Yarrowia lipolytica: one gene and its partners. The protein of the gene in region 2 purifies or fractionates together with the protein of the main gene of each other region. This does not show direct contact. Links are inferred from orthologs where the notes say so. Each region holds a gene or a part of one and is shown on either strand. Other genes may lie near its edges.

Evidence for each region.
Region 1: the proteins of YALI1_E23635g (region 2) and YALI1_F12013g purify together in Saccharomyces cerevisiae (affinity purification with mass spectrometry; 3 studies listed by BioGRID, with this or other methods). This does not show direct contact. The link is inferred for Yarrowia lipolytica from reciprocal best matches to the Saccharomyces cerevisiae genes COX4 and QCR2.
Region 3: the proteins of YALI1_E23635g (region 2) and YALI1_E15606g purify together in Saccharomyces cerevisiae (affinity purification with mass spectrometry; 3 studies listed by BioGRID). This does not show direct contact. The link is inferred for Yarrowia lipolytica from reciprocal best matches to the Saccharomyces cerevisiae genes COX4 and COX7.
Region 4: the proteins of YALI1_E23635g (region 2) and YALI1_F02758g purify together in Saccharomyces cerevisiae (affinity purification with mass spectrometry; 5 studies listed by BioGRID, with this or other methods). This does not show direct contact. The link is inferred for Yarrowia lipolytica from reciprocal best matches to the Saccharomyces cerevisiae genes COX4 and QCR8.

The regions. Positions count from the first base shown.
Region 1 is NC_090775.1:1,199,529-1,203,184, reverse strand, and holds YALI1_F12013g (uncharacterized protein), read left to right. Parts: upstream 1-1,881; coding exon 1,882-3,156; downstream 3,157-3,656. UniProt on the Saccharomyces cerevisiae protein: Component of the ubiquinol-cytochrome c oxidoreductase, a multisubunit transmembrane complex that is part of the mitochondrial electron transport chain which drives oxidative phosphorylation.
Region 2 is NC_090774.1:2,361,841-2,364,471, reverse strand, and holds YALI1_E23635g (uncharacterized protein), read right to left. Parts: upstream 990-2,631; coding exon 501-989; downstream 1-500. Other genes in the region: YALI1_E23629g (uncharacterized protein), read left to right, coding at 1,586-2,083. UniProt on the Saccharomyces cerevisiae protein: Component of the cytochrome c oxidase, the last enzyme in the mitochondrial electron transport chain which drives oxidative phosphorylation.
Region 3 is NC_090774.1:1,559,983-1,562,750, forward strand, and holds YALI1_E15606g (uncharacterized protein), read right to left. Parts: upstream 831-2,768; coding exon 826-830; intron 688-825; coding exon 501-687; downstream 1-500. Other genes in the region: YALI1_E15583g (uncharacterized protein), read left to right, coding at 1-60; YALI1_E15625g (uncharacterized protein), read right to left, coding at 1,531-2,493, 2,551-2,592. UniProt on the Saccharomyces cerevisiae protein: Component of the cytochrome c oxidase, the last enzyme in the mitochondrial electron transport chain which drives oxidative phosphorylation.
Region 4 is NC_090775.1:275,153-278,096, reverse strand, and holds YALI1_F02758g (uncharacterized protein), read left to right. Parts: upstream 1-1,851; coding exon 1,852-1,912; intron 1,913-2,223; coding exon 2,224-2,444; downstream 2,445-2,944. Other genes in the region: YALI1_F02794g (uncharacterized protein), read left to right, coding at 1-1,326; YALI1_F02726g (uncharacterized protein), read right to left, coding at 2,798-2,944. UniProt on the Saccharomyces cerevisiae protein: Component of the ubiquinol-cytochrome c oxidoreductase, a multisubunit transmembrane complex that is part of the mitochondrial electron transport chain which drives oxidative phosphorylation.

The DNA of each region.
Region 1 (3,656 bases), on a different chromosome or scaffold from region 2:
CCCTTTAATTGCACCGCTGACTAAACATGGTGGAGCCTACACTACAAGGACATGTAGCTATGGACATGTTGTTTAGGGAGTGTAAGATGGGATGTGAAAGGGGGATGAGGAAAACATACAACTACTTGTAGTATGACTGTATATTCAGATGACGACCAAAAAAATAGATCATATTTCTACGCTTTTCCTGTTTTTTCCTTTTTTTCCCCAAATTTTTCCATCTCAATCTGCCAATTCATCTCCCGTCAACTTTCATCACAGCGCATACAATATGCATGCACGTTCTTTTTTATATTTTATATATATGTTTTATATTTTTATATATGTTTTATATATTTTTATTCCAGGATGCGTGAGTAAAACGGGGATAAAACGGGAAAAAAACGGGAGTAAAACGGGAGTAAAACGGGAGTTAAAACGGGAGTAAAACGGGAGTAGGAGGTGAACCACGGGCTACAGGGAGGTCACGAGCTACAGTGTATTCGATATCGGGCTGACTTCATTTCTAAAAAGTCAGATTATGAGTGTCTGTTATATACAATATATGTTCACCAGAGTCAAGTCCTCCAACTGGCTGAATTTTGACCGTAGAAAGCTGAAATTTGACACAGACATACTGGAGACACAGAGCAGACGGGAACAGCGATTTCTCTCCTTATACATCTACACCAACGAGGTATACGACACCCCAAAACAAGCCACTTTCACAACTCTAACCACCTTGGGCATGCATGTTTGAAAAAAACAATCTATGGTGATGAACATGACTGGGTAGGGAAAGAATGGGATAAAAATGAGTCAAATCAGATTCAAGATTGGTATTGTCGGGGAACACGGCGGAGGGGCCCATGTGACCAAATTTCAGCAAGACCCGATCCAAGTAGCGCCCACAAGGGGGACCTTTTAGTCATACCGGTCAATGCAACTCCAGAATCAGAGGTGAACAATCAGAGGAATTGTTATAAGAAGATGTCGATAGAAATGTCTCCGTCCAGCCAAGTCGACGACATGTTAAACTCCCGAGAACCTCTTTCTGTGGCCCCATCAGGCTAACTTTGGATGCGGACTCAAATACAGTCACAACTCGTGTTACAGTAGTCAGAAACGACTTGCGAAAACACCAATGTACTCCCACAATTCCAAGGGTCACAATGGTATACTCAACTCGTCCTCAAACCGCCCTCACTGTTGCAGAATCCCCGTCGCCAATTGCCCTCGATCCCATTTGCCAACTTTGCATCAACTGTAAACAAACTCGGAGATTTGACAAACTTGGAGATTTTTTAGATGCACGACCAACGTCATATTGAGGGAGATACGGCGAGGCGGGGGGAAGAGGTCACGTGGATGGACAGACCACGTGACCATTGCCACTCGGTACACGCCGACTCCATAGCCAGAGTTCGTCTATTCACGTGATCTGTCTCAAATACTACGCTGCTCAAACGGCTCATAATTTTGTATGTACAATGATGATTTGCGTGATTCGAGTGATTCGAGTGATTCGAATGATTCGAGTAATTCGGAAACAACACCACACAGTGCACGATTGAGACGGGCGGCGCGGACGAGGGGCAGATCACGTGACCGACCGGGTCCAATTGAGCTCCGCTGGCGGAAAAAAGACGGATATATCTTGGCGACCGCGCGCTCCAGTCGTCTCCTCCTGGTCGATGGTCTGATGCTGAGGAGTCCCAACCACGCGCTGCCCTAACCCTCGCACTCCACAACCAATCAAAACCGACGCTTTGAATGTCTTTTTGGCAAAAAAGGTTAATGTGCGCTCGCACAAATCACACCCAATAGTCAGTTCACCAACCACCCAGAACTAACCCCTTCACAACACAACACCCCCCCAAACCCCACACAAAAACAACCACAATGTTGTCTGCCCGATCCTCCATGACTCGGGGTGTTCCCCGACTGGCCGTTGCCGCCCGACACTTCTCCACCGCCGAGGCTGCCGGCGTCAAGGTCGCTGCCCAGGACGGCCAGTCCCCCATCTCGGACCTGTCTGTGGTGCTGCGAGGTGGTTCTCGATACGCCACCGTGCCCGGCGTGTCGCACATTCTGGAGAAGTTTGCCTTCCAGAACACGGTGCCCAAGTCTGCTCTGCGATTCGTCCGAGAGCTGGAGCTGTTTGGCGGCAAGCTCTACACCCACACCACACGAGAGCACATTGTGCTGCGAACCCAGTTCCTCAAGCAGGATCTGCCCTACTTTGTCGACGCCTTTGCCAACGTGCTGAAGGAGACCAAGTTCCAGCAGTTTGAGCTCACCGAGCGAGTCGCTCCCGTGGCCGAGCTCGACCTCCTCAAGCGAGAGTCGGACCCTGCCTTCACTGCCCTCGAGGCTGCCCACGAGGTTGCCTTCCGAACCGGCCTCGGAAACTCCGTCTACGCCCAGGGCTACTCCCCCGTCACCCTCGAGGACGTCAAGGAGTTTGCCCGACAGGTCTACGCCAAGCAGAACGTTGCTGTTGTCGGCAACAACGTGGTCCCCGCCGATCTGCAGCAGCTGGTCGGCACCGCCTTTGCCGACCTGCAGGAGGGCTCCAAGGTGACCCAGGCCGGCACCACCACTCTCCACGGCGGTGAAGCCCGAGTCCGAACCTCCACCGGCAACGCTCTGACCATCGCCCTGCCCATTGCCGAGCCCAAGCCCGTCTACCACGCCCTGGCCTCCTTCCTCGGCGGCCCCGCCTCCATGCCCTGGTCCGTCGGCGCCTCTCCTCTCGCCCAGGCCACCGTTGGCACCCACACCTCCGTCAAGGCCACCTACCACAACTACGGAGACGCCGGCCTCTTCGCCATCACCATCAAGGGCGACTCCCCCGCAGAGATCTCCCAGGTGGCCCACAAGGCCGTCCAGGCCCTCAAGGACACTGGCGCCGAGGTGACCGAGGAGCAGGCTGCTCGAGCATACGCAAAGTCCAAGTTTGCCGCCGCTGAGGCCTTTGAAAACCCCGACTCCTCCGCATCCGTCATTGGCATGGAGCTTCTGTCCGGAGTCTCCCGAATCGCCCCCGAGAACGTGCAGAAGTTCACTCCTGCCGAGCTCTCCGAGGCCGCCGCCCAGCTGTCTGCCAGCGCCAAGCCTGTTGTTGCTGCCGTTGGCCAGGTCCACGCTCTTCCTTTCGCCGACGAGCTTTTTTAAGCGGTAGGTTAGCATAATAAAACTAGATATTGACGACCCTCTACTGGCGCGCAGTATCATCCTTGCGACGCTGTCACGAGCATGATCTTGCGGCAGTATATGGGAGCAGACGTAGACTACGTTGCGAGTGCCACGGTCACTAGTGATGTATGTACACGTAGGGTGACGATGTTATCGTAGAGTGATACCAGTGACGGGTCCGATGATACCGGTGACAAGAAAGAATGTGGTGGGTATGACCGCGATGGGAAAGAGTGTCAGGATGTAGTGTGGACTGTGTGTATCGTCATGAGATGCTTCCATGAACTACGCTCTGAAGTGGTCTTGTCGAGTGTTGTTGCAGGGAGGAAGTTCATTTGGAGACGAGAGATTTGTGGGAGAAGATAATAACGGGTTGATCTTGTTTCATCAGGGGATAGAGCAAGTAGAGGCGTGAGGGGTCTGTAGAACTGAGGGTATTGGTCTCATCGGGGGTATCCATGGTAATCTGGGTGTACCGT
Region 2 (2,631 bases):
AAAAGGTAGCTATCCATTGGGCCTACTCATTGAGATTGAGCCTACCCATTGAGCCTACCCATTGAGCCTACCCATTCATTGTATCGATCACTCTCGGTGAGCGGTGTCATTCCAGTTGTGACTGGAAAAACTCGTGTCGGCAGTCTCACAGCTGAGCAGATGACGGTGCTAAGAACTACGGTGGTGTTACATCCACCCATGGTGTGTCGTGACTTTCGACGTCCGAACAAGTGTCGCCTTCAGGGTTACATCTCAGTCCCACTAAGGTACTCGTACTTTCTACAGTATCACAATAATACAGTGGGTTCTCAGATTCACCCGTCCGCACCCTACAGTCTACATCCACAGTGCTACTCATGCGGTGATACAGCGGGTTTCCTCTGTAAAACAACACAGACGCTGTGTTTGTACGTTCCATGGTTGTTTCTCTTTCGCATGTCGCTACGGTTTCAACGCACAAGCGACAAATCTCTCAGTTTGTTCAGTTAACATACATAGCCTTAGTGGTGGGGAGCCTCCTCATCGGCGCCAAGCTCATAAGCTCGGTAGACGGCGCCGCACTCGTCGCATCGGCCGACCTTATCGACACCGGCGTGGAACCACTGGACCTCGTGGGAGCCGTGGGGGGTACCGGAGCAGCCGACGATTCGGGAGTTGTCGTATGTGGGGACCCAGATGGGGTCGTCGGGGGTGCCCTTGACGGAGTGCTGGGGTCGGATGACGGGGCCGAGGTCGAAAATGTCGATACCGTCCATCTTACCGAGCAGCTCGAGTCGAGCCAGACCGGTCTCCTGCTCGAGGTCAGTGGGCACGGTGCCGGGGGCGGCGGAGGTTCCGATCAGGGACTCGGGGCCGGTGACCTCGGAGAGCTTCTCGGCGGGCTTGACGGCCTTGTGCTGCAGGAGAGCAGAGGCAGAGGAGAATCGAGCAACCTGCTGGGGTCGAGCGATTCGGCCTGCGGAAAGCAGAGATCTTCTCAGGGCGAACATCTGGGTTAGTACTGAAGCACAGGAGACATAAGCGTGGTGGACTCAGTAGAGTGAGAGCGTGGTGTGCAAAAAGTCTGGTACAAACTCACAGACCCATCCATCTCATGATGAATCGGCTTGGATACGTTGGTACGGGATACAGCCACAGCTGAGAGTAACTGCTGTGAAACTGGTAAATGGCATTTGACGCTGTCACCATCTGTTGATGATGACATAAGTCACGTCACTTAGTCGTAACACGGAGTCACGTCACAGCCACAGCCACAGCCACAGGTGTGTCACAAACACGTTTTCGAGGGGTTCAGTGGTATCCGTGAAATTGTGATATCTGCGAAATCTTTGTGTCGTTTGATTTGAGCTGTTCTGAGAGTGCGGAATTAGGTAACGGGTCGGTGGAAACGTCAGAGGGTTGATGCATTGAAAGTGCTAAGTGCGAAGTGACTGGCATCGACTAGTAAAGTGCATCACAATGTCGAATAGTCGAATGGTCGAATAGTCAAGTTCAGCGACATAGCGACATCCCCGGTCTCGATTTCTCCTTCGTTATACGCTGCATGTAGTCATCACATTGCCCGCGTCTCCCTACGACACTCCCGATGTCTCCCCATGACACTTTCCAAGTCAATCCACGACACTCTCCACGTCGTCACCACAACTGTCGTGCCATCCATCCCGCAATCGTCTTTGTTTTCGTCATCTCCACCTCTTCCTGGGTCTCTCCCTGTCATCTCATTTGCTCATCTGTAGCTTGTCGATATTTGCTCAAAAAACACAAGACTCGTGTCTGTTCACAGGTGACATTGCCCGAGTCACATCCTCCCCTCTCTCGTCCACCCCACAATATCCGCCTTATCATCTCAATACCCACTTTATGCAAAAATATGGAATGTACCGAAAGGTGCTATGTGGAAGCCAACACTGAAATCGTATCACACACTGTTAAAAGTTTGGGACATGATTTGTTAGCCGAGCTAAGCCAATCACAGCGCGCCAGAGTGGGCCGACTGCGAAACCTTAAAATAACATGTCATTTTTCCACTTTGAGCAATAGGATTAGGGTTGGGAGTCAGGTCCGCAGCAATAAGCTTAGCTAAGCACCGCCTTTTACTGGCTGGAATGGTGTTCAGGGTTAGGGGTTGTGGTTAGGGCGGAATCGTGGCTGGGTACCCAGTGGATGTGGCTAAAGTCCCAGCTGGTGGCTGGTGTGCTTAGTAATTGGATCACGTGAAACGTGTCAACCAATTTGGTTGTTTCTGGTGGGTCGCAAAATCAAAGATAAGTAATTACGTAATCGGGGAGGTAAGAAAAGAGTGAAAATGAGGAGTTTAGAAAAGACGTGGAAATTTTCGGTGGAAATTTCTGCTGTTACATAACATCATTGTACGCACGTGATCACGGGAAGTCACGGGACGGATTTGATTTCGCTGACTAAGTCGCCTAATACCGCCGTTTGGGTCAAAGTTGAGTGGTCATAACCTGTTTCAAAAGTTGTGCAACTCGGTGTGTAAGCGTCGGATTGGGAAGCTGAGTAATTGTGAGATTGCCTAATACTGTTTTTATAATAATGGCCAAAGTATTATATAATTTTGGAGGCGCTATCAGGTCATCTGAGCGATTGGTCGCTGAGATATCACATGACTTT
Region 3 (2,768 bases), about 800 kb from region 2:
GGCTGGCAGAGTGCTGCCATCATCACCACCGATGACATTGAGCACGATGAGAAGCAGTAGCCGTGGCAACAGCAGTATATAGTTGTGTATTTAATAAATCTTTTTACATTCACTATCTGTGCTACAAGTAAGGTAATTACTGTAGTAGTAGTGGGTCTTACAATATCAACCCTTCAGGTGCTTAGTCATCAGATAACATCTCAGACATCAATCATCGATCCTTGCTCAGGAAACCTCCGCCTTCTCGTTCTACGTGTCCCTGTCGTGTTTCTTCTCGGTCTGAATCCCCCAATATTGTTTCTGTGTCGTTCTGATGTCGGTTTGATGTTGCAATTTCTCCCTCGTCGCTACGGTTGCGGTATCTAGTCAAATATCATGTGCAAATGTATTAAGTCTACTCGGAGGCAGGCTTCTCATCCTTGATACCCTGGGTTAGTTTTGCAATTGTCGTGATCCTTGACTGCTCAATCAGTCGAATTTCTCATCTTCCATCTCTCCAATCATGTTCTCCACATATCAATACTACTCACAAGAATGGTTCGGCCAGTGTACCAGACGGAAACGCCCATGGAGACGGCGAAACAAGCGTAGAAGGGGTACAGCAGGAACTTGGATCGGGGGTGTCGCTTCCACAGAGCCACGTTGGGCTGGGACTGGAAGAGCTTCTGGTTCTTGATGACGTTGTTCTGGGTTAGTAATGTGGTGACACACGCCGCGCAAAAAGGCCGCACAAAAGCCACAGCCCGCTAAACGGGACGTGCTCAGAACACTGGCGGTGGATCTGTCGGGTTTCAACGCCTCGTTTCGCGTTTATCGGTACTCACGACCATTGTGATATGTAGTGATGGATTTGGTGGTACGTCTGAGCTTACTTAAAATCGAATGTTTGCAAGCGGCCAATCAGGCTCGGTTCAAACCCAACCTTGCGCGTAAAATAGGGTCCTGCGTATAACACAGACTGCAGTATTGCCTGATCCAAGGCGCTTTGAGTTCAGCTTTGGGAGAAGCTGTTGGAGATGAGTGGATGGAATTTGTGGTGTCATATTTTTTACATAATCATGATATTATGTAATCGGAACAGGGACAGACATTCAAATGTTCAACCACTCGCAAGGGCGTAACAGTGCAGAAACCAAAGCTATTGTTCACGTGATACCCTTAGTTCTTCAAACGTACACTCATACATACCTACAGTATACATGCCACAAGTACAAGTACAAGTATCGGCAGCGTTCCAAAGCAAGTCCCTGTGATCTACTGTACAGTATCGTAGTGCTGGGTGTGTTTTGGGTATGTATGGTCAATCAAGGCCTATAGACTTGCTGGGCTGTACGATGACCATTACCACATTGATTGTGTTTCCGATAACATTTTTATTGATAAATAGTTAGTATGTATTGCTCTCCCTGAGCCTGTGCTCTCCCTGAACCTGTGCTCGGGTATCTGTATCTCACTGAGGCTCTCAGACCGCTATACTGATTGCCCCTCTCGCACGCTCTGTCTCTTGCCTTCACTTTGGCTCCCGCCTCACTAGCTTGAGAAATACCCCTCGCTATCACTGCCTCTGGAACCGTTAATATGTGCATCCACAACTCTCGTGAATGTCTTCTCATCTCCATTGGCTACCCCAATGGTTAGTTTGGTAGGCTCGACCGTGATCCACTTGATCGCATGTCTTACCCCCAGACTGATATCTGGAGTCTCTACCGGAGGAACATGCTCACTTGGAGGCGAGTTTCTTCTCGGGGGTCTCTCAATCATCACACGCTCAGGAATATGTCGCCTAGAGGGACGTGCGTCGTGGAACTCCTCGGTAGGAGTCCTTGGTGCATAGTGCGAATCTGGAGCATCGTGGTATTGTTCTGTGTGTTCTGTAGTGTCACTCACCGCACGGATGGAAACCTCCACGCGATGGCGATAGTAAGACTGCATGATGATGTGGTTGATGGTGGTTCCCCAGTCGAGATAATGTCGCTGACCCTGTCTATCGAGCCAGTGTATATTTCCAGGCACTCCGTACATCATTTCTGAGCCTGAATCTGACAACTCATCTGAATCAAAGCCGCCTTCATGGGTCTCAATATCCAGAGCTGAAGCCAGAGAGGCGTCGAATTGAAAGTCGCTGCCATCTTCGCTATCTGAAAAGAGGCCTGGAAGCATCGAGTTGTGTATCGACAGATCTCTCTTGTATTCTTCCGTTTGTCTTTGCATGAGTTCGTCGTACTCTGCTTTCCTGGAGGGGTCTGTTTCGATTATAGCTGCAATTATGGCCTTGGATATACCTGCCGCTGCATGTGAGATATGGGGCTTCTTGTGACACTCCTTCCGACACGAAGGACAGGTGTTGACCTTGGTGAACCAGGTCGAGATGCAATCATAGCAGTAAGAGTGCCCACACTCCAGCACACACGGCAGACACATGAGTTCCTGGCACACGATACATGTGACTGAATCGGCGATTTGCGATAGCAGAGACACACATTGTGTTTGAGTCTGTGTTAGTTAGATCCGATATCCAGACGTAGCTGCTAGCGGTGCCGGTGTACTCACATAGGCCCTACTCAACGCTGTCACGTTTAAGTTGTCGGACATGTCAGCTCTGTGACGTTGGCAGTGGTTGAAGGGAAGGAGAACGAGTCCGTCGCTTGGATCGTCTGTTTCTGTTAGTAAATAGTGCTTGGGTGCTCTCACAACACTTTTTTGGCGTCACGTTGCAGATAAAGCAGGCCCGATGCAAGGTGGAGAAATATTTAAGGTTGTGTGCCTGT
Region 4 (2,944 bases), on a different chromosome or scaffold from region 2:
GTTTGTTGCTGGACCCTGGGCCGGTTCTCAACCTGGGTCTGCGAACAGAGCATGTCCGAGCAGGACACTTACTTCATCCCCACGCTTACAGGTCTCTTTACATGTGCCCTGGACCGAAACAAAAAGGTGCAGGTTGCCGGCTGTTCTGCCGTGGCCACCTTCACTGACGAGGCCCGAAACATGCTGACTCCATACCTCGGCCAGATTCTCGAGCAGTTTGCGCTCTGTTTCCGACGCTACCAGAAGAAGTCGCTGCTGTTCCTGTACGACGCAGTTTCGACTCTGGTCAAGTATTGCGGCGCCGAAATTGCCGAAAACCAACAATACATGGAGACTCTGATGCAGCCTCTGATTGCCAAGTGGGAGCAGATTAGCGACGACGACAACGCCCTGTGGCCACTGTTTGAGTGCATGTCTGCCGTGGCCTCGTACATGGGCCCTGCATTTGAGCCCTATGCTCCCCCTGTGTTTGACCGATGCGCTCGTCTGCTGCACTCGTGCTTGGTTCAGGATCAGAACTTTTCCAACGACCCGTCCCAGGATCCTGCCGAGCGAGACTTTATGGTGACTGCCATTGATCTTGTCGACGGTCTGGTGCTCGGTCTCAAGGACAAGGCAGCTCCCTTGATGATGAACAGCGAGCCCCCATTCATGGAGCTGCTTCTTGTGTGCTGCCATGACGAGTTTGACGTGCGGCAATCGACATTTGCGCTCATTGGAGACATGGCCGCCCTGTGCCCCCAGCCATTGGAGCCCTACATGGATCAGTTGATGGAGGAGCTGCTCAACCAGGTCGAGTACAACCACATTTGGCCTGATGCCGTCAGCAACACTTGCTGGTCACTGGGAGAGATTGCTCTTCGATTCGGCGACAAGCTGCGACCTCTTCTGCAGGCATCTGCTGCCGAGCGGCTCATTGCGCTTCTGCGAACCCGAGATGCATCGCCACGAGTTCTGGAAAACGCTTCGACCGCCATTGGCCGAATCGGCATTACCATGCCCGACATTTTCGCGCAGCGAATCCCAGACTTCATCATTGCCTGGTGTCTCAACATGCATGACGCCATGGACAACAGCGAGAAGGAAAGCGCGTTTGTGGGCATGTGCACCATCATCTCGTCCAACCCCCAAGCCCTCGACAACTCCACCCTGCTCATGTTTGTGAATGCCGTGGCCCGATACCTGGAGCCTAGCGAAGCGCTGATGCACACCTTTCGACAGGTGCTGGGTGGCCTCAAGGGCATGCACCCCAATTTTGACAAGGACGTGACCGAGCAGCTGCCTCCCATCATCCAGAAGCGACTGCGTGACGTCTACGGCGTTTAAACTAGACTGTACCAACTACAAGCATGTACACTCCATAGCTACAATCACTTAATCATGCCTGGTGCGGTGGAGAAACGGCTCCCACGGATTAATAGAGCCATAGAGAAATCAAACGATAGATGTATAACAATGACATCAAGAGTATGAACATGTCCTTGTAGAGATGTATGTTGAGGAGTATCGCCTACAAGATTTGTACAAATATATCAATAAGCAGCATCCAATCATAAATCCAGAATGTATGCTTTTCGGGTTCATCATGTTATCGTCAGTTATCATCTCGTTTTACTGTCTCCATATTGTCCCCATATTGTCTCATCATTCAGCTTGCTGCTGACACTGAACCATGCATATTGGAAGTGTTCCATTCGCCCACAATAAGCTTTGCTCCCAGCACACCACAGTGATGCTCCCCAGGGTTACCCTACCGTTCCTCCCAACAGCCAATGGAATCACACGGGTATCTTTCAAAGCCAAAGCTCACGAAAATCATCTCACCTTCACTAACTAAACACATCTATCAAAATGGGAGGCAACGGACACTACATGGGATGGTGGGGACACATGGGCTCCCCCCCTCAGAAGGGTGAGTACAAGAAGACAGGATGAGGCCTTGCGTTATTTATTGGACGCTATTCGACACGCGATGAGGGCTTCAGGACAACAATGGTGCGTGATGATCAGGCGGTGACCTACGTGGACAACATACCACATCAAGAGTGTGTTAGAGGTGATCAATGATATTGGTACAACCAGTCCACTACTACAACCGACCCAGGGCCAACTTGGTCCCTTTGTGGTCGAATTGAGGGTCTAGTAAAAAGTCACGCGCAAGATAGACAAACCATCACCACACACCAGTCAATCGTCACTCCTTCCCCAATCATACTAACTCAGGTATCGCTGGATACACCATCTCCCCCTTTGCTGCTCGACCCTTCGCCGGTGTCGTGCACGCTGCCATCTTCAACACCTTCCGACGAACTAAGAACCAGGCTCTCTTTGTCATCCTGCCCGTCTCTTTCTTCTACTACGTCTGGACCCAGGCCTCTGAGAAGAACGAGTGGCTCTACACCAAGGCTGGCCGACACGAGCTCGCCAAGGCTCTTGCCGAATAAGCATAGAAATACATATTAAGATCGACATCGTGGATTGTACGTAGAGGTCACAGCAGTCCCCTGAAGTGTGCACTGTATTGTAGTTAATCAGGTCATATTAAATATGCCTTGTATTGGTCATGATTAGACACTGCAAAAACGACTTACGATAATTCTTCCGTTGTATCGTATCTCTCGTATCACACATACAATCATACAGTGTCCAGAAAATCAGATGTTAAACACGGAAAACAACACATACAGTACAGTATAACCACAAAGAAAAGCTGTACAAGTATCTTAGATATACATTCTACTGTAGCCACAGGGAACAATAACACACAGATGAAATACACTCAATAAATATTAAATAGCTAGTTTTTATGTGGCGTCACCTTGACACTCTTCGAAACCGTGGTGGACTGACCCTTGTGGAACAGCGGCAGATCATACTTGAGTACGCCGCGAACAATGAGCTCAAACGGCTCGGAGCAAATCTTCTTCCACCGCTCTTCCGGAGT